Drosophila melanogaster: one gene and its partners. The protein of the gene in region 1 purifies or fractionates together with the protein of each later gene. This does not show direct contact. Each region holds a gene or a part of one and is shown on either strand. Other genes may lie near its edges. The genes, in order: CG10912, CG30281 and CG5577.

Evidence for each region.
Region 2: the proteins of CG10912 (region 1) and CG30281 purify together in Drosophila melanogaster (affinity purification with mass spectrometry, with the first as the bait; one large-scale study listed by BioGRID). This does not show direct contact.
Region 3: the proteins of CG10912 (region 1) and CG5577 purify together in Drosophila melanogaster (affinity purification with mass spectrometry, with the first as the bait; one large-scale study listed by BioGRID). This does not show direct contact.

Annotation. Positions count from the first base shown.
Region 1 is NT_033778.4:18,055,026-18,059,623, reverse strand, and holds CG10912 (uncharacterized protein), read left to right. Parts: upstream 1-2,558; 5' UTR 2,559-2,594; coding exon 2,595-2,972; intron 2,973-3,064; coding exon 3,065-3,502; 3' UTR 3,503-3,560; downstream 3,561-4,598.
Region 2 is NT_033778.4:22,112,813-22,117,569, reverse strand, and holds CG30281 (uncharacterized protein), read right to left. Parts: upstream 2,574-4,757; 5' UTR 2,560-2,573; coding exon 2,447-2,559; intron 2,393-2,446; coding exon 2,322-2,392; intron 2,246-2,321; coding exon 1,738-2,245; intron 1,682-1,737; coding exon 1,498-1,681; 3' UTR 1,381-1,497; downstream 1-1,380. Other genes in the region: CG30280 (uncharacterized protein), read right to left, coding at 2,929-3,088, 3,151-3,726, 3,778-3,839, 3,905-3,973.
Region 3 is NT_037436.4:17,838,150-17,844,594, forward strand, and holds CG5577 (uncharacterized protein), read right to left. Parts: upstream 3,279-6,445; 5' UTR 3,235-3,278; coding exon 3,138-3,234; intron 2,575-3,137; coding exon 1,887-2,574; intron 1,834-1,886; coding exon 1,671-1,833; 3' UTR 529-1,670; downstream 1-528. Other genes in the region: Grd (glycine receptor), read left to right, coding at 1-528; CG5567 (uncharacterized protein), read right to left, coding at 3,558-4,408, 5,126-5,267; MED19 (mediator complex subunit 19), read right to left, coding at 6,105-6,445.

The DNA of each region.
Region 1 (4,598 bases):
TACTGTCGTCGTTTCCGTGTCGAAATTTTCTATGTCGTATGTTCGACATTTCTGGGTATTAGCAAGTATTGTATCAATTGCATTTATAGTCGGCAAATGTTGAATCAACAAGTACAACATGCCTAAGTACAAATTTATGTTTAAAATGCAATTAAATGTACGACAGTAACTACTACCGGTGTTATTAACCATAACAGTTAACAAGTCACGGTTAAGCGAGTTTTAAAAATAGCATTTAACCATTTAATAACCATTATGATGCTTACTTCCTCTTTCCGTACTTTGGATTTTTTGAATCTTTTATTAAGGAGCCCCCATTGATTGCAAACCATTGTTTTTGATTAGATGTGACTTTGAAAGTCAAGTTATCAAGTTTCCTGGACACTTTACCTATTTATGGCTAGCAATAGTTAATTAGTCACTTAGGCAATGCCTTCTTTTTCTTCTATCGTCGCGTTGACAGTGCTAAGTTAGTGGGTGTTATAAATTAAATTATAGCTAATACGCTAGGTGATTTTTCTTTGGGGTGACTCAAGTGCAAGGCAGACGAGTGAGTTACCAACCAACCAACCAGCCGGCTGACAGGAAGCAGACGCGGAGTGGCATTGGAAATTGTTTTACTACGGGGCCATTTACAAAACAATTACACTTATTTGTGCGCCATTTAACAGCTCGTCCCTCCACTGACAATCCATCAGCGGCTGTTTCTACCCATTCAGCGAAACTCTGAGGAACTCAAGGCAACCGAAAGCCGGCTGACGCTACTCGACTTCATTTCGTCCTGACAGCTTTGGAGTGGAAATGAATACTCGGGCCAGTCGATCCACTGGGCGAAAAATAATACGAAAACAAAAAAAATATCCTAAGGCCAATTGAATTAGCAGTATAATCTATTTTAAACACGACTTCTTCATATAAATAGTAGTATCTACCTCCACTTAACTCTTTTCTAAGTCCTAATTTTCTCAATACTTATCAAAGCAAAACCAAATTTGTTCCAGTGTTCCTATTTCCGTTGCAGAACAGTTGCTCCAAAAGGACTGCTTAGTATGCAGCTCAGCAAGGAGAAGAGCCAGCGACAGCTGACGAACTGCATACCTGCAATGGCAGGTAAATAAAATTAATCATACGCCCCGTGGAACGTTAGTGTTCATTTTAAAAAATTTGCCCAATTCAATTATTAACTTCGTTGTGTTGAAATTTATGATTTCATAAACTGTAATTATCTATTTGTATCGCAAATATATATCAAGAATTTTGTTATTCGGTTAACAATGAATTCTATTTGCAGAAATGAGGCAATATTCAATTATTTTGTGCATTATTCATAATCTCAAGAGCAATTATAATTGGTCAATCCTTTGTGTGGCAAAGGAAATAAAAAATAAATCGAATTCTTGGAACGGTCGTAGCCAGTTAAATTAAAAGTTGGAGGAATATCTTCCGTTACTCTTTCCCAACCACACACACTTCAAACCAGAGCTGTGGTATGATAAGAGGCATGGTGATCGAAATGATTAATGTGGCACAAATAAATTAATTGCCATTTAATAATAGTATATAAAATTGGTGTAAACAAGATACCCGTTGAGATAAAGAATGCTTCAGTAAAGAATAAAATATATCTCGTTTTATGAACTTGGTAATTTAGTTGAAAATTGGTAATTACACATGGGTGGGGTGCCATCACGACCTTACCAACGAATAGCAGTAACCCTAATTTTGAACTTTCAGGAATTTAAATGTCAAGTTTGAATAATCCGTTAAAAATATGGTTTGTTTATGCCATTCACGTGATATGTGTTCACTTCATCAATTTACTTAATTTTAACCTGACATATTTAATTCTTCAGTATCAGCACCAGTGTTATTTTGTTTTAAAGTCTTGTGCGTTTAAATTATTTTGGATAGTCAAATTTAAAATAAAATAAAATTATTCTTTATTATTATTATTTATTATGAAGTATTAATTAAGTATTAAGTATTAATTATTGGCGGCTTAAACTTACTAGATAAAAATTTAAATAACTTAATTTCCAAATCGTTATAAACATAATTTTAGAAATATAAAGACCATAAAATTAGAAGAAGAAAAATTCTAAAACTCTGTTTACTTATTTACGCGGGAGTCCCCTTCTTACTTTTCACGGCCCAAAGCTTAGTCATTCCCATTCAAGGTGCTTTTTGATGGTTATTATCTGGGTTATGCAAACCTGACTGCGGCAAGTGCCGAATAATAATGATATCAGAGGAATTTTCGCATTAAAAACTCGAATATTATTAGATTTACATTCATTCCGGCGGGGTAACAATTGAATGACCTCCAATCAATGACCGATTTAAAATGGAACGTCTCAAAACAGATACCCACCGCCATTTTGTCGACGTATGATTGTTTACAGATTTTCGAAGGAAATGAAAGTAGACCAAGTCCGGTGTGTAGGGTGAGTGGCATACTGATATGTCTTATCTGCATCAAGATAGGAGAAAAGCCCCTGCGATCGCTAAGTCTGTGGCACCCAAAGACTTGGCATAAATGCCTTGGCCAGTAGCCAGTTAGAAGCAAGTTTCAAACGAACCTCACAACGAGCAACATGCAGTCACATCTCATCGCCATCCTGCTGGCCACCGTGGCCATTGGCTCCTGCATCGCGAATCCCAACCTCATCTCTGGTCCTTCGCGAATTCTTGAGATAATGAGCGCCACCAGTGATATCCAGCGTAATAATCCACAACTGACCGTAGAATGTTTTGACTACTATAATGACGTATTCAAAACCGAGTATGCGGAGTATGTGGATGAGTACAATCTGTGCGTCGATAAGTATGATGGCGGTTATGAACAGGTTCTGGAACAGTACAATTCCGTTGTCTGGGACCTCAGCAATTCCACCTTCGAATCCTGCATGTTCCTGCTGGACTGCGATAAACAGAATAACAGCGAAAATGCTCTATCCTGCTACTCCACTGAGGTAAGTGAATAGTGATTTGATTTTTTAAATACAATTATTTGATAAGTCTTATTTTGTAAAATTAAAACATTCAAATTCAAATTAATTTTCAGGGTCCGACATATTCCAAGCAGTTGTCGAATGTGGCAGCCAATGCTTCGGTCTCGGTCAGTTCACTGCGTCAGCAGGTCGAAACACTGGTGTTCACCCGTGACCAATGCTGTTCTGCAACGTCCAGGAACTATGAGATCCGCTCCGGCGAGTCCTACGAAGATCTTCAGAAGTGCCTGAGCGGTGAGAATCCTGTGCCGGAAAGAAGCACCACCACTACCAGTTCCAGCTCCAGCTCCAGCACCAGCACCACCGCCGCCAACCCCACTACTACCACCACGACCCCATCTCCTTCAACCACCACCTCATCGTCTTCCACCTCCTCAACAACGAGATCTCCATCGACAGTTGCGCATTTTAGTTCCGTTGAAAACAGCAGTGGCAACAGCCAGCACCGATTTCCAAGAAGACTGGACAATATTTTCAAACATATTCTTTAAGGGTTGAACAATATAAAAGTCAATATCAATAAACTAAAAAGGAACATTGCAAAAAGACAATATTAATAGTGAACAATTAATAAAGTAAACTAATATTAATACTCATTTTTTGGGCTATAACTAGGGGTATAGCTAATGTTTAATGAAAAGTTTGGACTTACAATATTTTGTGGCATATCTTACAATTAAAATGAGATTGTGCTCTAAATAATGTTAAAGAAACTAAACACTTAACTTACAACTATATTTTATATGAGTTGATACAACTGTTTCAATAGCCATTTAAAATTCCAAGCTAGAATAATTTATTTGCCAAGAATACTCTTATCTTCGTCTGAATGGCTTTTTATCCGTTTTCAGTAAACTTCTGATGCAATTGAAAAACAGGCCTAGGGCCTTTGAGAAATGGCAATGGCTTAAGGATTGGCTCCAATCCTTAAACTAAACAGATGGAATCAAGTGATGAAGTCAATCTGGAAACTCAAACGAGAAACTAAAACCCATTGCAACTTACTTAATTAACGGACCGATCTAGGTGGAAAACCGAGTAGGAAACCAACCTGATGCGATGCAAATAAAACTTTTTGCATTTGCCATCAGTCCAAGTTTATCAAAGATCCAGCAGGACACGGACTGGGGGGAGGGGGGGGGGTTGGCATTAGCGGGGAATGGAAGGACAAACATGTAAATCAGCCTGGGAAAACTTTACCCCGGGCAGGACAAATAAAAAGGGCGAGGAAAAAGGAAATCTAGGACGGGACACTTTAAGGTAGCGGTAACAGTTAAATAAACATCAGAGCCATTTTCCTAGCGGTGTTTTTTTTTATTCAATTTTAATTGCATGTGGTGTTATTGTTTGTACAGCTGCCGGTGGCGGCCTTGTTGTCACTGCAATTAAAACAAATTAGAAGCGCTGTGCAAAGGGGAGAAGATTTCACTTTGCCAAAATAAAGCCAATAACTTGGCAAGTCCCAGTATCCTGCGTCCTTGCCGTCTTGCAGCCTGCCTATTGGTTGGTTGGCATTGCGATACCCAAAACACACACACACACACTGACTCAAAGAAGAACACGCAATTAAGATATGCAAATTAGAAG
Region 2 (4,757 bases), 4.1 Mb from region 1:
AAATGTAGCGAATTTATATGAAAGTATAATGGAATTAACAGTGCGCGACACAGCCATAAAGCCAAAACTGGTAATGCACATCTAGGAATGGTGCCAAGATCAACTATAACTTTTTCTTTATAATTTTGATTCAAGATTATACTTTATAAGACTCCTATTTCATGAAACTTACTGCCTTCAAATATGTCCCCTTGAAATTTGTTTTTGAGCATGTATGTTCATTTCTTAAGTTCTTAAATAAATACTTTTATTTTTTCGCACTGTCTGTCCGTCAGTAATTCTTGATAAGATATAGAAATTTTATAAATACCTGGGTCTTATGCTTCACATTTCTAACGAAGTCGCCTGCCCATGAATCATCGTTTCCAGCAAACATTTTATTTAACTCCCAAGATATTTGCCAATGGTCAGACAAACTGGAGGAAGTCAATCTAAGGAAGCTATCTTTTTAACGAGAATTCAACAAAATATTAACACGATGAGTAAAGAGTATAATATGAATGAGTAAAAGGAAGTCGGTCCAAAATTATCAAATCTTAGCCAGAGCATTCTTATTTAAAGCTCAAAAACATTAAAATTCAAATACAAAAATTCTTTAACGTTTAATGTTAAATTCATTGCTTAATACAGATAGTAATACTATTTTCCCTTCCGTCCAACGCTGGCCAATTTTCCCAGCGCCGCAGCAGCTGTTCAATTAAGCGACAATCCGTCTGGATGAATCAAGCGATTGAGTTGAGTGAATCATCTGCGCTGGAGGCCAGCGAAGGGGATCACAGTGGACAGCAATTAAGGAGCTGCCGGTTTCCAGCCGATCTGTTCCACTGTGCCACAATAATGAGTCAAGACAGCCCAGTCGGGGTTTTTCACACGTTTCGCCTTCCCTGCCCGGCAGTCTTACGGTTTAGCATTTCTTTTGCGGATCTGCAGATTCTTCTCATCATCATCAGTGGAACTGATGACAAGTGTGGTCTGCGTCTGCAATTGTGGTCTCCCTTTGTCTGGGCTTCTGGTCTTTGTCGCAGTCACTCATTTCCATAGGCCTCCATGGAGCTCCCATCTGTGACGTCAGACCCCCGCGAATATATTTTTATCAATGTGTTCACTTCGCTCCCCCCGATATCTCTCATTACCCGAGGCTCTTTCTCGCTGGAGACTCTCCCCAGGCCTCCGGTTTCTCTGTTTGAATTTTATAGCTGGGGCATCGCATGCGCGGCCGTTGGAGCTCCTCAGTTGGAATTCAACTTGCGAACTGAGCGCAACGCGCGTTCCACTCGAAAACCTCGACGAGAAACAAAGACTATTCGCAAACGAAGAGAACAATTTGTTTACGTGCGCGTGTAGAAAAGCAGCGTTTGAAAAAAAAAATCAACTAATAATACAACAAACAAATCAGCGGGAAACGGTTATTATCAAATTGTAAATAAAAGTCCCAAAATGTTGATAGTGTTTATCAAGAAATAAAGTGATTTCCCTTCGGTGTTTTCGGTGTGGAATTCAATGGGCGTTTAAGGCATTTTGCATGCCCTGCCTTCGTAGGTTGTTGGAACACTTGGGTCTGATCATCATTTGTACGAATTTGTAGCCGTAGTCGTAGCCACGCCAGCTCATCCAGGTGATTCCACGACCCGACATCTTCGGCTCGAATCGACCTCCTTCCAAATATTGGCCATTGAGGTTGCTAGCGAAGATAATTGTTTGACTTTTTCATTTGAAGATATCATATCATATTCTTACCTCCTCTGGCACTGATCATACCACCAGGCCCCCACATAAATCCTGGCGCATCCGTGACCCGTATCATCGTGATCGAATGTGGAGAAGGGCATTCCCTTGTGGTACCTTAACGAATCACCGGCGTCTCCCGAGTATTTACCCAAAACAGATAGCGCATAGGACGCTGATGCATTCCCAATGGCAAAATCCTCGTATCGAGCATCATGTACCACTCCATTGAAATCTTCCATATAGACAAACAGCTCGTAAGGCTCCGCGGTTGTTAGGAAGTGTAGCTTTTCCAGACCCATAAAGAATTCTCCGCTAAGCTCCCCAAATCCTTGGCTATACTCCTCCCAACAGCGATAGAAGTTTTCACTGCCATCCTGTCGTCGCTGAATTACAGTCCATCCAGATCCCGCCAGCCGAGTGTCACAATAAACCGGAAAAGGTTCCAGACCCGGAACTTCAATAACATGGATGCCATTACTGTTGATTCCGGCAGCTAGACAGGAGGATGGGTTAATTGCTGCTAGACGATTACGAAAAGATGTAATTAGTTTAATTTTTGTAGAAGATCAGAAGCCAAAATAGCTCGAACTTACTCTCATGACTGCCTCTTTCTTCTGTGATTTCCTTGTAGCTCTGTTTTAGCTCTTCCAGCCTGATCTTTAAACTGAAAAATACATAGTTTAAACTTGAAAGCTCTACGATGTTTTGTGTCACAAACCTGGAAACCATGCTTTCAGCTTTCTTATAGACTAGATCCAATTTATTGCTTTGAGCAGTAGACAAGAGGCTGCCACCGCTTAAAATTAAAACACACAACAAATAGAGATTCATGATCTTGTTCCGTGCCTTGTTCCAACCCATCTAGATTAGATAGATTTGTATAGCTTGAAAATCAATTTCGATACTATATAGTTCGATTGACTTATCAATTGCATTGACAAATCGTAGGTCAAGTTCGCCTTGAGCGGTAGTAGATCAGGAAGTTGAGACAACTAAACATGAGAATTACAGTATATTTCGCAGTTCTAATTGAGATTCTGATTAATGTGCTCGGCGAGAATGCGATGATTCAATGGAACAACCTTTGCATATTAATCAAGTACATAACAAATTGTTTTCACGTTCTCGAAGCCATTGAAACCAACAGGGAGTGAACAGCTAATAATAATAACAATATTCGTGAAACCGCCTTGCCCAAATTCACCGCTGAGTCACTGGTATCATTCGGCACTTGGGTCTTATCATCATTTGGGTTACCCTGTATCCGTAGTTGTGGCCACGCCAAGATCGCCAGCACATTCCTCTGGCGAACAAGCTCTCCTCGTATTTCCCACCCGGCATATACTGACCATTAAGGTTGCTTGAATAATTACAAAGTTGTGAGATTATGTTTTGAGAAAGTTTATCCGACAGTAATCTCACCTGTCCAGACATGCGTTGTACCACCATCCTCCCAGATAGTAAAATGCACAGTTCTTATTAAACTCATGATCGTTATCCCGATCATATGTGGAGAACTTCATTTTGCGGTGTGAGCGGAGGGAATCTCCCGCAGTGCCCGAATATTTTCCCAGTGTATTCATGGCGTAGTCGTCATCTTCGTTTCCAATGGCAAATTCATCGAATTTCGCATGCTTAATTGTATCATCGAAATCCTCCAGGTGTACATACAACTCATGCGGCTCCAGGGCAGTCAAGGCACGAATCTTTTCGAGGCCGAGGAAGTACTCGTCCATTAGATTGCCGAATCCGTTCTTGTACTCCTTCCAATTGCGAAAGAAGCTCAGATTTCCACTGAACCTCTTTTGAATTACAATCCAACCGGGTCCAGCCAACTGATTTTCGCAATACACTTGAAAGGGACTCAAGCCTGGAACTTTCAGGGTGTGCAAGCCATTTTCAAGATCCCCAGAAGTCAGACAGGAAGTTGGATAAATCACATCAGGGGATGTGTTTAGAGTGCCATTGGTTTCAAGTTGCAAAAGTGATTCTTGTAAACTGGGGAGTAAAACAGTAAGCTTAGGCCTACTTTCTTTGTTTGAAACTTACGTTGAGAGTGCATTTTCTGCCTGTTCATAAATAGCCTCCAAGTTTCCAAACAAATTCAGCGTCTGTCGAGGGTTTTGTTTATTTCGATTAAGTATTGGTATACTTTTTGAGCGCCTATTTAACTTACCTCCGCATGACAAAAAATCATCACACTAAGTGCAATGCAAACGGAAAAAACTGGGACGCCGGGAAACATGATTTTGTCAGCTAATCGATGAGAATATAATGAGATTGGATCGTTTCTAAACATTTTATTGCACACAAAGGGAAATAATTGTTGGCTTTGTTTTTGTGCCGTTTCTTATCAGTTGCCATTCAAATAACTTGATTATGATTTCTTGATAATTATTTGGAGCCACTTCCATTCACGGAACTCTTACTGTGAATTTAATGCTATTTTGAAGGGTGGTTCGAAATAAAGCTAAAGAAATTTAAATTGAAAACAGCCATAAATGTGATTAAAACAAAGGCAACACATTCACAACATTTATGATTTGCTCGAATCACGTGGGATAGCCTGGTTTTCAAGTGGGTTGCCCCAGTGAAGCTAAAACTGTGCCGCTTTACGCGCTGTTTGAGCTTGAAATTTTCCATTGTGGCTTCAACCATAGGGGCATAATAAATATTACTAGTTTTATTGGGATAAGGGTAAATGTTGAAAATATATATTAAATATTAAATTATCGCCCAATGGATTTGTTTCATTGGTAAACATAAGCTCATATTTTAGGCCAATTAGGAATGTGAAATCTAAAAACCGAGCTTTGAGTTGTTGGTGACTCTTAAGAAATTGTAGAAACTAGAGAATTTCAGGCTTCGGTGCCTCCACATCCATTTTGTATCTTTATCGGGGCGTCAATCTGAAGACAACAGAAAACAAGACATAAATAATAAGTATAGAAATTGTATTATAAACACACAGCATGTGTGAGTGTTATGGTGTGTGGGTGGTGACAGCGGTCTCGGCTTTGGAAGTCGCT
Region 3 (6,445 bases), on another chromosome or scaffold:
AGCACAGAGTCCAAGATCTACGAAGTCATTCCGCTGTCCATGTGCGCTATTAGCATGCCGCCGCCTCCCACTCGGCTGGGCATGCTAACCTCCAGGAATCGGAGGCCCCGGAACAGGCGTCATGGTCTGTGGAGTATGAAGCTTCTGGGTCTCTTCGACTGGCGGCGAAGAAGAAAGCCGCCACGTGCCGACTCCGACGAGGATGAGGATGACGAGCAGACGCAGCTAAGGGCCAACGAAGCACCGACCACGTCTGCGGCAGCTGCGGCGGCACAAGCTGCTGCACAGGCTGCTCGGATTAGTCCTCCAACTGGAGGTCGCCGCAGGATGTCCTACTATCGACGCGAGGAGATGGAGGCCCGAAGGAAGGGCAAACGAACGCCACAGTACAATTCCGTGTCGAAGATCGATCGCGCCTCGAGGATCGTCTTCCCACTGCTATTCATCCTTATCAACGTGTTCTACTGGTACGGCTACTTGTCGAGGAGCTCAAGGATTTTGGCCAACACGCCGGATGCGAGCACCTGATGTTACCTTTTAGCAATTTAGACAGGGTCCTCGAAGAAATCATTAAGCGATCGCCGGCGGCAAACTTACAACTAAAGCTGATGGAAAGCGATGCATACGCAGAGTCGCGGAATTTAAACACTGCGATTCTATAAAATCTTTGCACATGCATCGTTTAAAATCAGCTTAAGACAAGGCGTGGGGGGAAAATCAGTTGGGGGATTGGGAAAAGCAGGGGATGGGTTTAACTTTTCAGATTCAGTTACGCTCTTATTCTGATTTGCTACCAAATGTGACACCGCTTTATGGGATTTCTTTTCGCGCTAAATTGCTAAAGTACAGAAAACAGAACTCAACTCTAACATATCAGAGGACTTGTTAAAACGGACACTCACGAAAATGTCGTGCTTCAACAGTCAAAATATCGTAAAAAACTTTCGAAAACAGGTGTTTGATTGTTTCAATTTTACACGGAAGCAAACCGCCAAAAATATAACTTCTGTGATACTTGCTTGCTTTGTTTTGACAATTAGCAGCTCACATCGATGGGTGTCCTGTAAATTTGTTGTACAGCTAACCAATAAGTTGTATAGTTTCGATTATGTGTGTGTCTTAAATAGTTAACGTTGATTGATAATTGATTTGCAAGTCACAGCACAAGGAACTTGCACTTATTTAAGCAATTTGTTTAGTTCATTGCAAATTACAACTTTTACATGGGATCACCAAGATATAGGAACGAGTAAGAAATTGCCGTCTCTGCTTTTCTGACCCGGCAAGTAATAGAAGGTTAAGCTAGTATTTTAATAAGTCACTCAGCCTATATTGTTAATTCAAAGAAAAGTTATTGGGCCTGAAAATTATTTGGGGACGGACATAAAAATGAATATTCGCAAATGGTTAGTGATTTATTTGTGCAATATGCATTGTCGTCTTTCCAAAATTTATTAGCTAGTTTTGTTCATGGATAACTTTCAGACCCAGCAATTTCTCAACCACTCTATATATGTAAAAAAAGTATCCATCAGAGAATGTTATTGTACTTGCCGGCAGATACAATATGTACAACTATGTGTAAACACATCAACTAAGGCCAAATAAAAGTCGAATTAAGAAGTTGATAACGAGTAGATTGCTGCGCGAGAGTCCCATGGATTTATGGCTCACAAAATGTTCAGCAGATCGCCCAGACGGGGCAGATAAAAGTCTGGCTGGGGCAGCCTGTCTTTTTCCAGCCGGACATCCGAGAGATTATTGTAACGACCCGTGCCCACCAGAAGCGATAGCATGCCACAATTGCTGGCGAAACCGACATCTATTTTGAGGCTACGGGAGAAACTCATTAGGAAAGATTGAAAGGATGTGTTAATCCCGCATACCAGTCACCAATCATAAGCGTTCGCTCGGTACGTAGTCCCTCGGCCTTGATAAAGGGCTCAAGGACCAATGGATTTGGCTTGCCCATCTCGAGGGCTTCACGCTCCGAACATGCCTCGATTCCGGCCACAAAGGCCCCAGTGCCGGGGATACAAAAGGATGGATACTTGTGCACGGCATCCCGGTTGGTGACCAAAAAGGCGGCGTCGGGATTACTGCAGAGGATGTGACAGGCGCGCGCCATCTTGCAGTAGCTAAAGTACTCATCCCAGCCGACCACCACGGCACCCACGTCCTTCGCCGCCTCTGGGTTCCCAAACTCGCGTGTCACAAAGTCCGGCCATTTGTCGCCCGGAGGCAGTTCATCTGTTCCGCCGGCTCCGTAGCTGTCGATTCCGCGCTGCCTTAATTCCCGCGCAATGGCCGCATTGCCCACCACATAGACCTTGTGCCGGGTCCTGTCGAACTTCGGACTCCCAACCAGATAGTCGGCGATGGCCGCCGTGGGCGAAATGATGTGTCGGTCGCTGGGTAAATGGAAGCCAAGGCGCTGGGAGCGCTCAAAGAGCTCCTGTCGCGTCTTTAGGCCATTGTTGGTAATCAGGTAAACTTTTTTGTCAAATCGATCCTGCAGGGCATTCACCACATCCGGAGCACCAGCGATGGCCGTGTCATCCTGCCATATGGTGCCTGTGCGTTTAATGGATATTTGATTTGGTGTCATTTGAAGAGGTTTGAAATGAGAGATATATTTTATAAAGTAACTAAATAATATTGGAATTAACACGAGTTTTGGCTTTATTTTAAAATAATTACGAACGAAATTTCTGTTTGGTAAGCCCAATAGTACATGGGAAATTTATACATTAAATTGGAATGATCTGCGAGAGATCAGAGAGATTTTCAGGTATAAACATATTCCTATTGATCAGGTATAAATATATTCCTAAAAATGTAAAATGATTTCAGCAGCGTTAAGCCTTATCAACTTTTTCTAATTATTAACGATTTTACGTTTAAAGTTATCCACTTACAAAATGAATAACAGTAACAATCGATGTAGCAGGCCGATGAAATGTAAACTTTTAGCTACCGCGATCGCCAAGCTTTTCCCCTTACCCATGTAAATTACCATCGATATTTTATACTCTGTTTTTTCAGTGAAGCGACAACTCTGGTAAAAGCTCCATAGCAGCACTCACAAGCCCAATGAACCCTCTCTCTGTGGCACCTTAGCCGCCCTTGAGACTCACCGTCGCCGTCGCAGAGAACCGTGTCGAAACTTTGGAGCCACTCGCTCACCTGCTCCTCGGATAGGCCGGTCAAGTCGATAGCACCGCCTCTGGACATTTTGCTTCGTAGACCGCTTCGCCAAATGCTTGCGACTCAACTAAATCGACGGCGACGGGCTGGCTGATTTCGATTCACGGTGATTGGGGAAAATCTGCTATCTCCCTTTCGCACAAAGCTCGCTCGGAAAAACAAATTGAGTCGGGCATATCGGTTAAATCATCCGTCTCACAAAATGCTTTTGAATTTATTTAAATATTCTTTGTTCTGTGGTATAAATTGCACTATAAATTTGCGTTAAGTATTAATAATCTTTCCTGTCTATTGAAGTTAAATGTAAAATCTATACAAACACATGTCCGTACTATTTACTGATTACTGATTCATTTCAAGTCCGTCAGGCTGTTCACGATCGACGGCAACAGATCTCCCAACTTGGGCAGGTACACGTCTGGTATGAGCTTCTTCTCCTCGGGATCCTGGCTCAACTTCCAACGCTCCACGTCCTTCAGCTGATGGATTCCGGAACCTACAAGCAGGGTCTGGAAGCCGCAATTGAACCCAAGAAGTATGTCCGTATTGGCTCGATCTCCGATCATCAGAGTTCTCGATGGATCGATCTTCTTCTCCGTGACCAGAGACTCACAAATGGCAGGATTCGGCTTCCCGATCACTACAGGATCCCGCTCCGCACAGGTTTGAATGGCCCGCACGAAGCTCCCGCTGCCTGGTACTATCATATTGGGCATGGGGAAACGCTCATCCGTATTGGTAGCCACGAACAGACACTCCGGGTCGTTTAGGTAGGAAGCGGCCTTCATCATCTTGGGAAAACTGAAGTGTTCGTCGAAGCCAACGACCACGGCTCCGATGTCCGTGTCCAGTTTTAAATGCTGTGCCATGAACTCGGCCAGCGATCCCTTCATGGGTTCCGGGCCCACCTCAGTGTGCTGAATGCCCACGGCGTCCAGTTCCTTGGTGATTCCCTCGCTTCCGATCACAAATACCCGCTTGCTGAAGTTCCGTCGTTTCAGGTACGCAGCTGTGGCATGGGCCGTTGATATAATGCCATTCTCCTTGATATGAAAGCCCAGTTCGACGCCTTTCTTGAGAAGTTCCGACCGGGTCTTCGTCGAGTTGTTAGTGCAAAAGTAGATCGACTTTCCCATACCCTTCAACTGGTTCATCACATCCACAGAGCCCTCCAGGGCCTGGCCATAGATCCAAAGGACACCTGATGTGAAAAAATGGATTAATATTGTAGAAGAATTTTCTTAAAATTAAAAAAAGAACGGTGCTAAATAGGTTCTCACTTTGTAGTTGTTAGTTTTATTAATGCCATTGCTAGTTTTATAAAGGGCGTTATTGATTTCTCAATATCTACAAAAAGTATACTCATATTGTTGGTAATTTATTTCTAAAATTGATAAATTAATCATTCAAAGGCAAAGAGGACAGTTTGAAATTAATTCCAATTAAGTAAATTGGTAACTTCGCAAAGATACATAAACGAAAAGAAATAAAAGCTGTTATGATTAAAGAAGGCATTATTGCATAAAATTAATAAATAATGGGGTTGAACACAACTTTTGATATTGCGTATATAATAACGATTTCCTTGAATTGATAAGATTGTCTAATATTAATAAACTTAGGGCTCATCACTATGAGCATTAGGGAATTTATCAAACGGCTCTTTACTGCTTTACTCTTTACTAAATATAACGATGATTAACAAGATATGAGGGCATCCGAAAGTCGACTTCCCGCCATATCACGCACTTCACTCTTTGACATTGAAATAAACGACGCAGCCACAATACAGAAACTATTGGCTGCTGACGTATTTGGGCAGAATGTGGTATACACATATCTTTATGTAACGCAACTTCCTGGGGGGAATCCTGGGTGGGTGCGAGTTAGTAGTATCTCATCCCCACCACCGACTTACCATCGCAGTCGGTTATTACACTGTCGAAGCCTGCTAGCCACTCGGTCACCTTGGCGGAGGATAATTCCAGGAGATTGGTGCACGACTGCTTGTACATGTTGATAGCTGCCTGTCGCGAAAATCTGGCGAAGTTACAACTCATCTATGGCTTTGCAGCGACGACTATCTTATACACATCACTTTTAATTTATTAATTGACTCTCGATTGCGAGAAACTCCCTGAGAATTAAAGCAGCTGTTGGCGCCTGTTAAGGCTATGTTACTATCTGTCAGATTTCAGCGTAGCTGTTAATGCGCCATGTTAAAGTCAACAGAGTGCTAACAAGTGTTTGGCGCCAAATTTGAATTTAAGGGCTCCTTGGAAGCAGAACTTCTGTGCAACAAATGCTTATATTCGAAAAATGAACTAAGCTCCCCAAACTATTGTAAACACACACTTTGATCATTTTTATGCTTGTTTATTGTTTTATGTGCCTAATCACTAAAATTAATTACTTATAGTACAGGCATTTTTATTTTGTTGAATCTCAGCTTTCTTTTGTGTTTATAAACTTGCTGGAAGAACAAACCATTGCAGAAATTTAATTGAAATACTGACCCTACACACGTTACAAGGTTGGTAAGCAAATTAAAGAGGTTGCAAAGCAGCGTTTTTGTGGCGGCGTGGCGAGGGGTGTGTTTGTGTGGAGGGAAGAGCTGGAATCGAGAGCGAAAACGTTCTTGCGTTTTGTACCATAACTTGCGTTTAAATAAATCTCATTAAGCTAGCGCGAAAACGAACGAAAAATTGTTGGCTAATTACAGAAATAAACTATTTTACATTTACAATAATCATAAATTAATAACTAGGACACGAAACGATATCGAGAAAATTGCATGTAGAGGACCGAGGCCCTCTGCGTTTTTTTTATGTTGCCATTTGGGGTGCGTCTGCTGATGAGAGGTAATGAGCCAAGTCTATTTTGCTAAAGGATCCTGCCTAAAACTGCGACATAAGCAGACTCCCACCGACGCCGCCCCCGCCACCACCTCCTCCTCCGCCGCCGCCACCTGGACCGCCACTAGTGCCCAGCACAGATCCCAGCAGACCGCCACTTGACATCTGCTGTTGCTGCATGGGCATCTGCTGTTGCTGCTGCATCTGCATCGATGAGGAGAAGCTATTCATGTTCCCCACAACGCCAGGTCCCATACTGGCACTAAGGCTGGACAGCCCGGGTCCTCCAGGTCCTCCTCCCAGCGATCCCAGACTAGTGGCTCCCATTACACCCGCTGCTCCGCCCAAGCTCGCTCCTCCGGGCAGCAAGCCCACGCCCGGTT